Linked DNA regions of Macaca mulatta. The protein of the gene in region 1 purifies or fractionates together with the protein of each later gene. This does not show direct contact. Links are inferred from orthologs where the notes say so. Each region holds a gene or a part of one and is shown on either strand. Other genes may lie near its edges.

Evidence for each region. The genes of interacting proteins can lie anywhere in the genome.
Region 2: the proteins of FTSJ3 (region 1) and NIFK fractionate together in Homo sapiens (co-fractionation; 3 studies listed by BioGRID, with this or other methods). This does not show direct contact. The link is inferred for Macaca mulatta from reciprocal best matches to the Homo sapiens genes FTSJ3 and NIFK.

What each region holds. Positions count from the first base shown.
Region 1 is NC_133421.1:73,620,012-73,624,976, reverse strand, and holds the start of FTSJ3 (pre-rRNA 2'-O-ribose RNA methyltransferase FTSJ3), read left to right. Parts: upstream 1-1,331; 5' UTR 1,332-1,515; coding exon of another isoform or gene 1,516-1,582; intron 1,583-1,755; coding exon of another isoform or gene 1,756-1,861; 5' UTR 1,862-1,891; intron 1,892-2,124; coding exon of another isoform or gene 2,125-2,171; intron 2,172-2,268; 5' UTR 2,269-2,293; coding exon of another isoform or gene 2,294-2,373; intron 2,374-2,788; coding exon of another isoform or gene 2,789-2,888; intron 2,889-2,985; coding exon of another isoform or gene 2,986-2,999; coding exon 3,000-3,180; intron 3,181-3,258; coding exon 3,259-3,374; intron 3,375-3,491; coding exon 3,492-3,596; intron 3,597-3,681; coding exon 3,682-3,782; intron 3,783-4,005; coding exon 4,006-4,086; intron 4,087-4,177; coding exon 4,178-4,324; intron 4,325-4,459; coding exon 4,460-4,595; intron 4,596-4,965. Other genes in the region: PSMC5 (26S proteasome regulatory subunit 8), read right to left, coding at 230-320, 924-976.
Region 2 is NC_133417.1:15,734,783-15,739,799, reverse strand, and holds the end of NIFK (MKI67 FHA domain-interacting nucleolar phosphoprotein), read right to left. Parts: coding exon 4,856-5,017; intron 2,512-4,855; coding exon 2,452-2,511; intron 2,333-2,451; coding exon 2,264-2,332; intron 1,894-2,263; coding exon 1,705-1,893; 3' UTR 1,026-1,704; downstream 1-1,025.

The DNA.
Region 1 (4,965 bases):
AAAATGTTTAACAAACTGTGAACACTATGACCCTCAAAGGGGTGGGACTGGAGGAAAACAAGAGATTGCTTACTTCTGATACACACACCCTACTAGCTAAGAAACAAACAAGAAAGGAGAAGCAGCAGCTTCTTCCACTGCACTCCCAGTGGAATTAGATGGATTTGTGGAAGTCCGTTTCCATCCCCCATCATCCCGCTTCCTAGCTCTCTCTGAAGTCCGTCCTCACCTGGAGTTCTTCAATCTTGGACAGATAATATTGGCGGAGTCCGCTGCCTGCCTTCCCCTCCTCCAGTTCCATCTGAAGACACAGAGTGAGTCTTAAACGACAGGTTAAACATCCGAGGGGATAAAGCCACTTGCAGGGCACTTTGAATAAGGTTTGACACCAGGTAGCTTTGCGTAGTAAAAAAAGTTTGGACTTCGGAGGCTCAGCATCTGGGTTCTAATTCCTCCCTCCCTGGGAACCCTCCATTTTCCCACGACTAAAATAAAAAAATGGGAACGCCGCCTACCTTGTACGACTTTTAGGAGGACCGAGAGGCGATATGATATACACGGGGGCGCTTTGCACTGCGTGAAGCGCTCTACAAGCCCGAGGTGTCGTTACTGCCGACGGAGCAAGCGGAACGGAGCCGAAGGACTGGCGTCCCGTCTCCTGCGACCCGTGGGCCGGCCGTTCCCGCGCCCATCGCTCCCCTCACTCACTCCGCTTCTACCGCGTATTCCTCTCCCAGCCTTGCCCTGACTCACCGAGGGCGGCGCTGACACAGCAGATCCAGTCGCAGGCAGCGTCCAGCCTGGACTACTCCAGCCACCTCCGACCCACCCAACCCTCCTGCCCCGGCCCGCTCTCCACTTAGATTACGCTCGCTCCGCACCCAGCCCCGTAACCTGCCGGGCCGCCACTGCAGCCGCCATACCTGCTCTGGCCCGTCAAGCGCCATCTTCTCTCTTCAGCAGAGACCGCCGGCATCCGAGTCCCCTTTGCGCGCAGGCGCGGAAGCGGAGGCTTGTGACCTGAGACCAGGCAGAGAAGAGTTCCGGGTCAATGGGCGGGGTGCGCGGCCAGACCACACTAACTAAGGGGACCATGATGGGAGGGGCGGCTACGAGAGTTCAGGGGCTTTGGAGGGGGAAGAGGAAGGAGCAGAACTCCTCAATGTTGCCTCATTGAAACTATGTTTGTAGTTCTTGTAATATGCCTTCCTAGTCTCAACTTTCAACTTACAAAATCCGAGGACAGAGTACCGAGAACAATCTATGGCCACACTCAAAATGGCGGAAAACCTCGAGCCAGGGACGCAAGCGGAAGCGGAAGTACGTTTGCTGCATACATGTGCGGTTCCGAGTGTGGAGAAAGCGGCCGTGGGTCTAGGTAGAGTGTGCGGAGAGGGGAGCGGAGTGGAATTGCTGCGGGAAGTGGGAAACTGAAAGAGGAATCTGGTGATCCGGAAAGAGACGTCCTCAACTTCTACTTTCTCCCCAGATTGAGCGATATTCCCCCATTCCACCATGGGCAAGAAGGGCAAAGTTGGCAAGAGCCGACGGGACAAGTTTTATCACTTGGCGAAGGAGACGGGTGAGTCCAGATTCGCTCAGTCTGCGTGCGAGCGAGCGAGCGATCTCTGCCCGGTTCGCCTGCTCTTTCTGACCATTGTGTACCTCTCCTGCAGAAGGGGTAGTGGGTTGCGAGGCTGGAGAAATCCTGCTGGTGATGGTGAAGCCCTCTGCGCACTTGGTTGTTTTGTCCAGGTTACCGTTCCCGATCTGCTTTCAAGCTGATCCAGCTCAATCGCCGCTTTCAGTTCCTGCAGAAAGCCCGAGCCTTGCTGGACCTGTGTGCTGCGCCAGGGGGATGGTTCGTAACACTTGCCACAGGTTGCTCCTGGTGGCCGCTTTCTGTGTTCTGAGCTGCGATGGTTTCCAGTTTCATTGCGGGAGAGGAATCCCGAATCCCGGTCCCCTTGGAGGCCGTTTCCTTTCTTGACTGCAGAGAAAGGGCTTGGAATACGTGCCTATGATATGTTCTGGCCAGTGCACGTAACACCAGGGATGAGAGGTCAGTTGCCAAGAGGGGGACAAGGATGGCTGTAGGTTTTTAAATTCCTATTCCTTTTATAGGCTGCAGGTAGCTGCCAAGTTTATGCCTGTATCCAGCCTTATTGTGGGTGAGTAACGGACAGCTCTCCTTGATGTTTTAAGGGGTCGGTGTATAAAGTACTTTGTCCTGTATTTCTCTCCTCCCTGCTTGAGGCAACCCTTTAGAATACTCTGACCTGATTTATTCCAGGAGTGGACCTGGTTCCAATCAAGCCTCTCCCCAATGTGGTGACTCTCCAGGAGGACATCACAACAGAACGTTGTAGGCAGGTAATAGGAGTCTTTCTCTTCCTTCCCCCTTTATACGGAAACATCCACATCCCTGAAATCCTCTAAAGGCAATTTTTTTCTATTTACCATGCTTTGAGCACATTCTTGCCTGACATTTGTACAAGACCCATGGTATTCGTAGTGCCCACTCCAACCTTTATTTAGAGTCAGGGATAAAGGTGTTTGGAATTGGGAGAAGGGCAGAGATCTTTAGTGAAGTTTTTTCCTGTGAACTCACTGTCAGACTGTAAGCTCCATGAAGGTAGAGACATACTGTTTTTGTTTACTATTGTTATCTCCTGTGCCTGGTAGAGCATTTGGCCCATAATGGGCACTCAACAAATAACGGGATGGACAAATGGTTGAACCAGGGCCATTCCTGTGTTTGTGTTTCCATAGTTCCTTTTCTTTTTAGGCCCTGAGGAAGGAGCTGAAGACCTGGAAGGTTGATGTTGTGCTCAATGATGGGGCCCCCAATGTGGGGGCTAGCTGGGTCCATGATGCTTACTCACAAGGTACAGGGAGTGTGGTGTTTGGAGATCAGGCAATGGTGGAGTTGGGTGCATGCCCTCCTGGGCTGCAGTGCCTCAACTAATTGTCTCTATCCTACAGCCCATTTGACACTGATGGCTCTGCGTTTGGCTTGTGACTTTTTGGCCCGGGGTGGCTGCTTCATCACAAAGGTTTTCCGTTCTCGTGACTATCAGCCTTTGCTATGGATCTTTCAGCAGCTGTTCCGCCATGTCCAGGCCACCAAGCCCCAAGCCTCTCGCCACGAATCTGCAGAGATCTTTGTAGTCTGCCAAGGTGGGCATCATTTCCTTTCTCTTGATCCAGCCTCCCAACTCCCAAAGCACACTTTTTAATATATCTTGTCATTTTTAGGATTCCTGGCCCCTGACAAGGTTGACAGTAAATTCTTCGACCCCAAATTTGCCTTCAAGGAGGTTGAAGTTCAGGCTAAGACTGTTACTGAATTGGTGACTAAGAAGAAGCCAAAGGTGTGTTTTGGGGAATGGGGCCACCCTTGGGTCCTGGAACTCTGGAGAGGTTGGGCCTGGTGGGTCCTACAGATACCCAGAAGGGACTGCCCAATCTTCTCTCTTTTTCTCCCTAAGGCTGAAGGCTATGCTGAGGGCGACCTCACTCTTTATCACCGTACCTCAGTCACTGACTTCCTCCGAGCTGCCAACCCTGTCGACTTCCTGTCTAAGGCCAGCGAAGTGAGTCTCCAGCCTTGAGGGACATGAGGTAGCCCCGGAAACATGGCCTGAGAATCTCCCGACACCTTTCCCTCCTCCCAAACAGATCATGGTAGATGATGAAGAGTTGGCACAGCATCCAGCTACCACTGAAGACATACGGGTGTGCTGTCAGGACATCAGAGTGTTGGGGCGCAAGGAGCTCAGGTATGCAGCGGGGTGGGCATGGGGGCCAGGAGCCCTGGAGGCGGGAAAGGCCATGATGTTAGATCTCTGGGAAGAGGATATTGCTGTGCTAAAGGTTTGGGGTAGGGGCCTGAGCCTTTTGGTTTATGTAGCTGAAACCTGAAAAGGTGGATAGTGAGCCTAAAACAAGGGGGCAGGGACAAAGCGGGAGATGGCAAGATCAGTAATAGTATCTCTGGGGCAGGTTGCTACTAAACTGGAGAACAAAACTTCGGCGATATGTGGCCAAGAAGCTGAAAGAACAAGCAAAGGCACTGGACATCAGGTGAGGAGGGAACGCAGCCAGGCAGGTGTGGACGGGGTGTCCAGGGAAAGAGCCCAGGAAAATAACCCAACTCCTGGGACTGTTTTGCCAGCCTCAGCTCTGGAGAGGAAGATGAAGGTGATGAGGAGGACTCAACAGCTGGGATCACAAAGCAGCCCTCTAAGGAGGAGGAGGAGGAGGAACAACTGAACCAGACCCTGGCAGAAATGAAGGCCCAGGAGGTGGCGGAATTGAAGAGGTGAGAGGAGCTGGGGTGGAGCTTGGAGTCCACCAATGCAGGGATCCTCTGTGAAGATGGGAGAAGAAAATGCAAGGCATGGATAGAAACTCTTTGGAGCTGGGCCAGTTTTACTCCCTGAATCCACCCCCTCAGGAAGAAAAAGAAGCTGCTGCGTGAGCAGAGAAAGCAGCGGGAACGTGTGGAGCTGAAGATGGATCTGCCTGGGATTTCCATTGCAGACGAGGGGGAGACTGGCATGTTCTCCTTGCGCACCATCCGGGGTCACCAGGTGAGGTGGCATTGGGGGTGCAGGCTTAGGAGACATAAGAATCTGTTTGGGTGTTTGGAGGTTGGGGGTGTTGCATGTCTTTTTAAGTTGCTGAATGATAGGCTGTGGTTGCTGTCTTCACCACAGGGTGCCTTGGTGAGTCTAAAGTCACAAAGAAACATAAACCTAAAAGGATGAAGTTAGGTAGATAGATGACTGTGATACATTATTCTTGAAGAACTAGAACATCAGAAAAGAACTTATAATGGATGCTGCCAGGTTACTTGAGTTACAAGCACAGAGGAAGAGAGGGTCTCCCTTAGAGGGGAGCAGCATTCTTCAGTTCATTGAGACCAAGTGAGCACTCACATTAGGCTGCTTCCACTCAATA
Region 2 (5,017 bases), on another chromosome or scaffold:
TAATGATTGCCATCCTAACTGGTGTCTGTTTTTTGGGATGGAGTTTCACTCTTGTTGCCCAGCCTGGAGTGCAATGGCGCGATCTTGACTCACTGTAACTTCCGCCTCCTGGGTTCAAGCAATTCTCCTGCCTCAGTCTCCTGAGTAGCTGGGATTACAGGCATGCGCCACCATGGCTGGCTAATTTTGTATTTTTAGAAGAGATGGGGTTTCTCCACGTTGGTGAGGCTGGTCTTGAACTCCTGACCTCAGCCGATCTGCCCACCTCAGCCCCGCAAAGTGCTGGGATTACAGGCGTGAGCCACCGTGCCCAGCCTTTTTTTTTTTTTTTTTTTTTTTCAAGGGACAGGGTCTTGCTCTGTCACTCTGGCTGGAGTGCAATGGTGCAACCACAGGTCATTGTAGCCTCAAACTCCTGAGCTCAGTGATCCTTCCACCTCAGTCTCCTAAGTAGGTGGGACTACAGGAATGCGTTGCCATGCCCAGCTCATTTTTGTTTTTTTTTTTTTTTTTAAGACAGAGTCTTGCTCTGTCACCAGGCTGGAGTGTAGTGGCACAATCTTGGCTCACTGCAACCTCCGCCTCCTGGGTTCAAGTGATCTCCTGCCTCAGTCTCCCAGGTAGCTGGGACTACAGGTATGTGCCACCACACCCACCTAATGTTTGTGTTTTTAGTAGAGACGGGGTTTCACCATACTGGCCAGGATGCTCTTAATCTCTTGACCTTATGATCCACCTGCCTCGGCCTCCCAAAGTACTGGGATTACAGGTGTGAGTCACCATGCCCAGCCTCATTTTAAAAATTTTTTGTAGAGAGGGGCTCTCATCATGTTGCCCAGGCTGGTCTCCAACTCCTGGCCTTAAATGATCCTCCTGTCTCAGCCTCCCAAAGAGATGGGATAATAGGCATGAGCTATGACATCTGAAAGCAATGTTTTTAATGAATCTGAATTCGCTAATGAAGGGGAAAATTTACTTTTTTTATCCCCACAATGACTCCCAAGTCCTACTCGCAAACAAATAAATCGTAGAAAAAAAGTTTAATTGCTGGTTATTGTTTGAATCTTGAAATACAATTCCTCACTGATGACACTGGTATAAAATGGTGGTTATTAATCCATGCTAGCACAACCAAAACTAACGTTAACATTATCGGTAAAAATGAGTCATTTTTGAATCTCGATTAAAATGTGAACACAAAAACAAATCTGTGTTAACACTGGAACTGCCTTCTCACTCTACATATAATTAAACTTCCAGCTTTAACCATTTCATGTTGAAATCTAAAGCATCCCCATGAGTTAAATGTCCCTGACAAACCATGTAGGTGGACAAACAAGATTGGTGGTCTTTAAATGCCAGTGACAGAAAAGGCTGCAGTTTAGTACTTAAACCTGCAGTTAGTGGTCAACTTTCTATCCAAGCAGAGTAAACTAAGGATAGCTATGAAACATCAAAAGAAAATTAGAGGCCAGGACAAAGAGGCAGTGTCAGCCAACCCAATGCAAGCTGGTATGCACCTCTGTATTTCAGACAAGGGCAGGCAATCCAAAATTACAGATTGCTTTTTTTTAACTTGACCAAACAGTGTATTTTTCCTCTGAAAATCTTGTCAAAGGTTGCAATTCATTGCACCTAGTAAAATACAAAGTCCATTCTCATAAAAATATTGTATTTTTCAGAAGAAATATAATACATTGAAAATCACTGATTGCTTTTTCTTCGTCTTTTTTTCCGTGAATGTGTAGGTGTTTGAGTCTCTTGTATTTCTTCTTTTACACAGGATATGGGCTGTTTGAAAACTATTTCATTATCTTTATCATCATCATTCAGTTCAGCCACTTCAGATTTTCTCCTCTCCAAAAATGTTGGTGTACAAACTGGTGTGGGGCCCTGGATTCAACAAGTAAAGATTGTAATACAGAAATGTAGACCAAGATTATGACTTAACCTAAAAATATCACCTCGTCTCTATTTTTACAAGTTGTGCCCCATTATTTTAGGTCTGTTTCCGTCTTTTGGTGATACTATTGCAAAGAATAAAGAACTCAGATGCTTATCAACTTAGTACAGAAATTCACAACAAAAATAGCATGTTCCATTACAAGGTTTTAGGCAGAAAATTGCTAAATCAACAATAAAGATCTACCAAATGTCACAATATTTAATTTGAAATCTTAAAATGAGAGTAGCAGAAACTACTTTTCCTCCTTCAAATTATTTCTATAATATCTGGTGCCCAGAATATTGAAAACCATTTTACCTGGCTATCCACAGTCTTCTCAGGAACGTTGGGAGTACCTAAAACTTTTTTCTTCTTCTTACGTAAAACCTTAAAATAAAATTTTAAAGGTCATCAATTTGAATATGGATCAGCTATGGTAGTCTTCAATGTTTTCCTACTTATCTTTCTCTAATATCTTGCATGTAAAATGATAAAAAACATTTTACCTGGCCTTTCGTGGACGTCTGACGATTAGTTTTTGAAACACCTTCCGTTTTCTGCAAAATCTTTAATAAAGAAGTTATAAATTGACAATCTCGTATCTTTTCTTTCTAAACTTAGCATTAGATCCTCATATATATTATCAGTAAATCCTCCCTAAATGACAGAACATTTCAATTTAAAAATCAAAACTCATAAATATAGTGAATTATCTCAAGTAAAGGGCAAAACTAGGAAATACCCAGTAGAGGAACTGACAGAGCTGCAGAGGTTGAAGGGAAGGCCAACACCTGGAGCTCACTGATTCACAGAATCCTGAATTCAGGAGGGCGGAAGCAAGAAGAACGTGCAAAGCCAGGCCACCCCCATCTCCACTAAGTCACAAACAGGGTACAGGAAAAGCAGTGCTTGCATGCCTCTTACCAAGTTTCACTGTCTCAGTTCCCAAATGGTTCACAAGAGTACCAGGGCCTAAGGCCTTGGCGAAATGTTCTAATACTATTAAAGACAATATTTGGAATTTGGGCAAAAAGTTAACCACCGAGAATTGAGCCAAAGGAGAATAACACAGTCACCTAGTTTCTGGATAAGGTTAAAAACCTAGTAGATTGGCTGGCCCAGTGGCTCACACCTATAATCCCAGCATTTTGGGAGGCTGAGGTGGGTGGATCATGAGGTCAGGAGTTCGAGACCAGCGTGGCTAACATGGTGAAACTCCATCTTTACTAAAAAAATACAAAAAATTAGCTGGGTGTGGTGGTGTGTGCCTATAGTCCCAGCTACTCAGGGGGCTGAGGCAGGAGAATCACTTGAAACCGGGAGGCAGAGGTTGCAGTGAGCCAAGATAGCGCCACTGCACTCCAGCCTGGGCAACAGACGGAGACTGTCTCAAAAAAAAAAAAGAAAAGAATAAGACCCTTACCTATACTAGCCATACCATAATGAGCTTCATTCTCGATCTATAATAAAAGACACAGCTCTCCTTACTGTGACAGATGGACGAAAGGTTCAGTGTTTTGGTATTTACTTATAGCATACAGTAAACCAAAGACTTAATTCTGGCAGTGTCACCTCTGAATGACAATCTTTTTCTTTTTTTAGAGATATGGTCTTGCACTATTGCTGAGGCTGGAGTGCAATGATACAATCACAGCTCACTGCAAACTTTAAATCCTAGGCTCAGGAGATCCTCTTGCCTCAGCCTCCTGAGTAGCAAGGACTACAGGCACACACTACCTCAGTTGGCTAATAAATGGCAATCTAAGAGTATTATAGTTTTCAGTTAAATAGTGGGTTTACTTCAGTAACTTAAAAAACAGATTATGTAAGGTAAACAAATCAGATTATCTCCTTAAAAGAAGCTTCCTCTTCTAGCCAGGCATGGTGGCTCACTCCTATAATCCTAGCACTTTAGGAGGCCAAGGCGGGTGGATCACCCGAGGTCGGGAGCTCGAGACCAGCCTGGCCAACATGGTGAAATCCCGTCTCTACTAAAAATGCAAAAAGTAGCTGGGCGTGGGGGTGGGCGCCTGTAATCCCAGCCACTTGGGAGGCTGAGACAGGTGAATCACTTGAACCTGGGAGGAGTTTGCGGTGAGCCGAGATTGTGCCACTGCACTCCAGCCTGGGCAACAGAGACTCTGTCTCAAACAACAACAAAAAACAACTTTCCTCTTCTGAATAATGGAAATAACAGAATCTGGTCTCACAATGTTTTAGGAAGAACTTACAATGGAATGTTTCAAAAGTTTAGCCAGGCCAGGCATGGTGGCTCACACCTGTAATCCCAGCACTTCTGGAGGCGAGGTGGACGGATCACCTGAGGTCAAGAGTTCGAGATCTGACTGACCAACATGGTGAAATCCCATTTCTACTAAAAATACAAAAAATTAGCCAGGTGTGGTGGTGCGCACCTGTAATCTCAGCTACTCCTGAGGGTGATGCAGGAGAATCGATTGAACCTGGGAGGTGGAGGTTGCAGTGAGCTGAGATTGTGCCACTGTACTCCAGCCTGGGCAATAGAGCAAGACTCTGTCTCAAAAAAAAAAAAAAAGAAAAAAAAGTTTAGTCAAAAAACTGGCTGGGCACAGTGGCTCACGCCTATAATCCCAACCCTTTGGGAGGCTGAGGTGGGTGGATCACCTGAGGTCAGGAGTTCGAGACCAGCCTGACCAACATGGAGAAACCCTGTCTCTACTCAAAATGCAAAAATTAGCCAGGCATGGTGGTGTGCACCTGTAATCCCAGCTACTTGGGAGGCTAGAGGCAGGAGAATTGCTTGAACCCAGGATGTGGAGGTTGCAGTGAGCCAAGATTGTGATAAGCACTAGGCTAGGTCCTTTACAAGGTACAAAGTCGCCCCCTCCCCTCCCCACAACAAACCACAAAAAAGATTTCACGAATATTTACCAAGGAAGGAAAATCATAATCAATTCCTTTTTTGGCTAATTTCTTCCTGAGTAATCTTTCTTTCTTTTTAAATCGCTCCTCCATCCGTAGCTTTTGTGTTAGTGTCCGATTCCGATTATACCGTTTCACTGATGGATGTGATGGCTGCTTAAATGGAATATT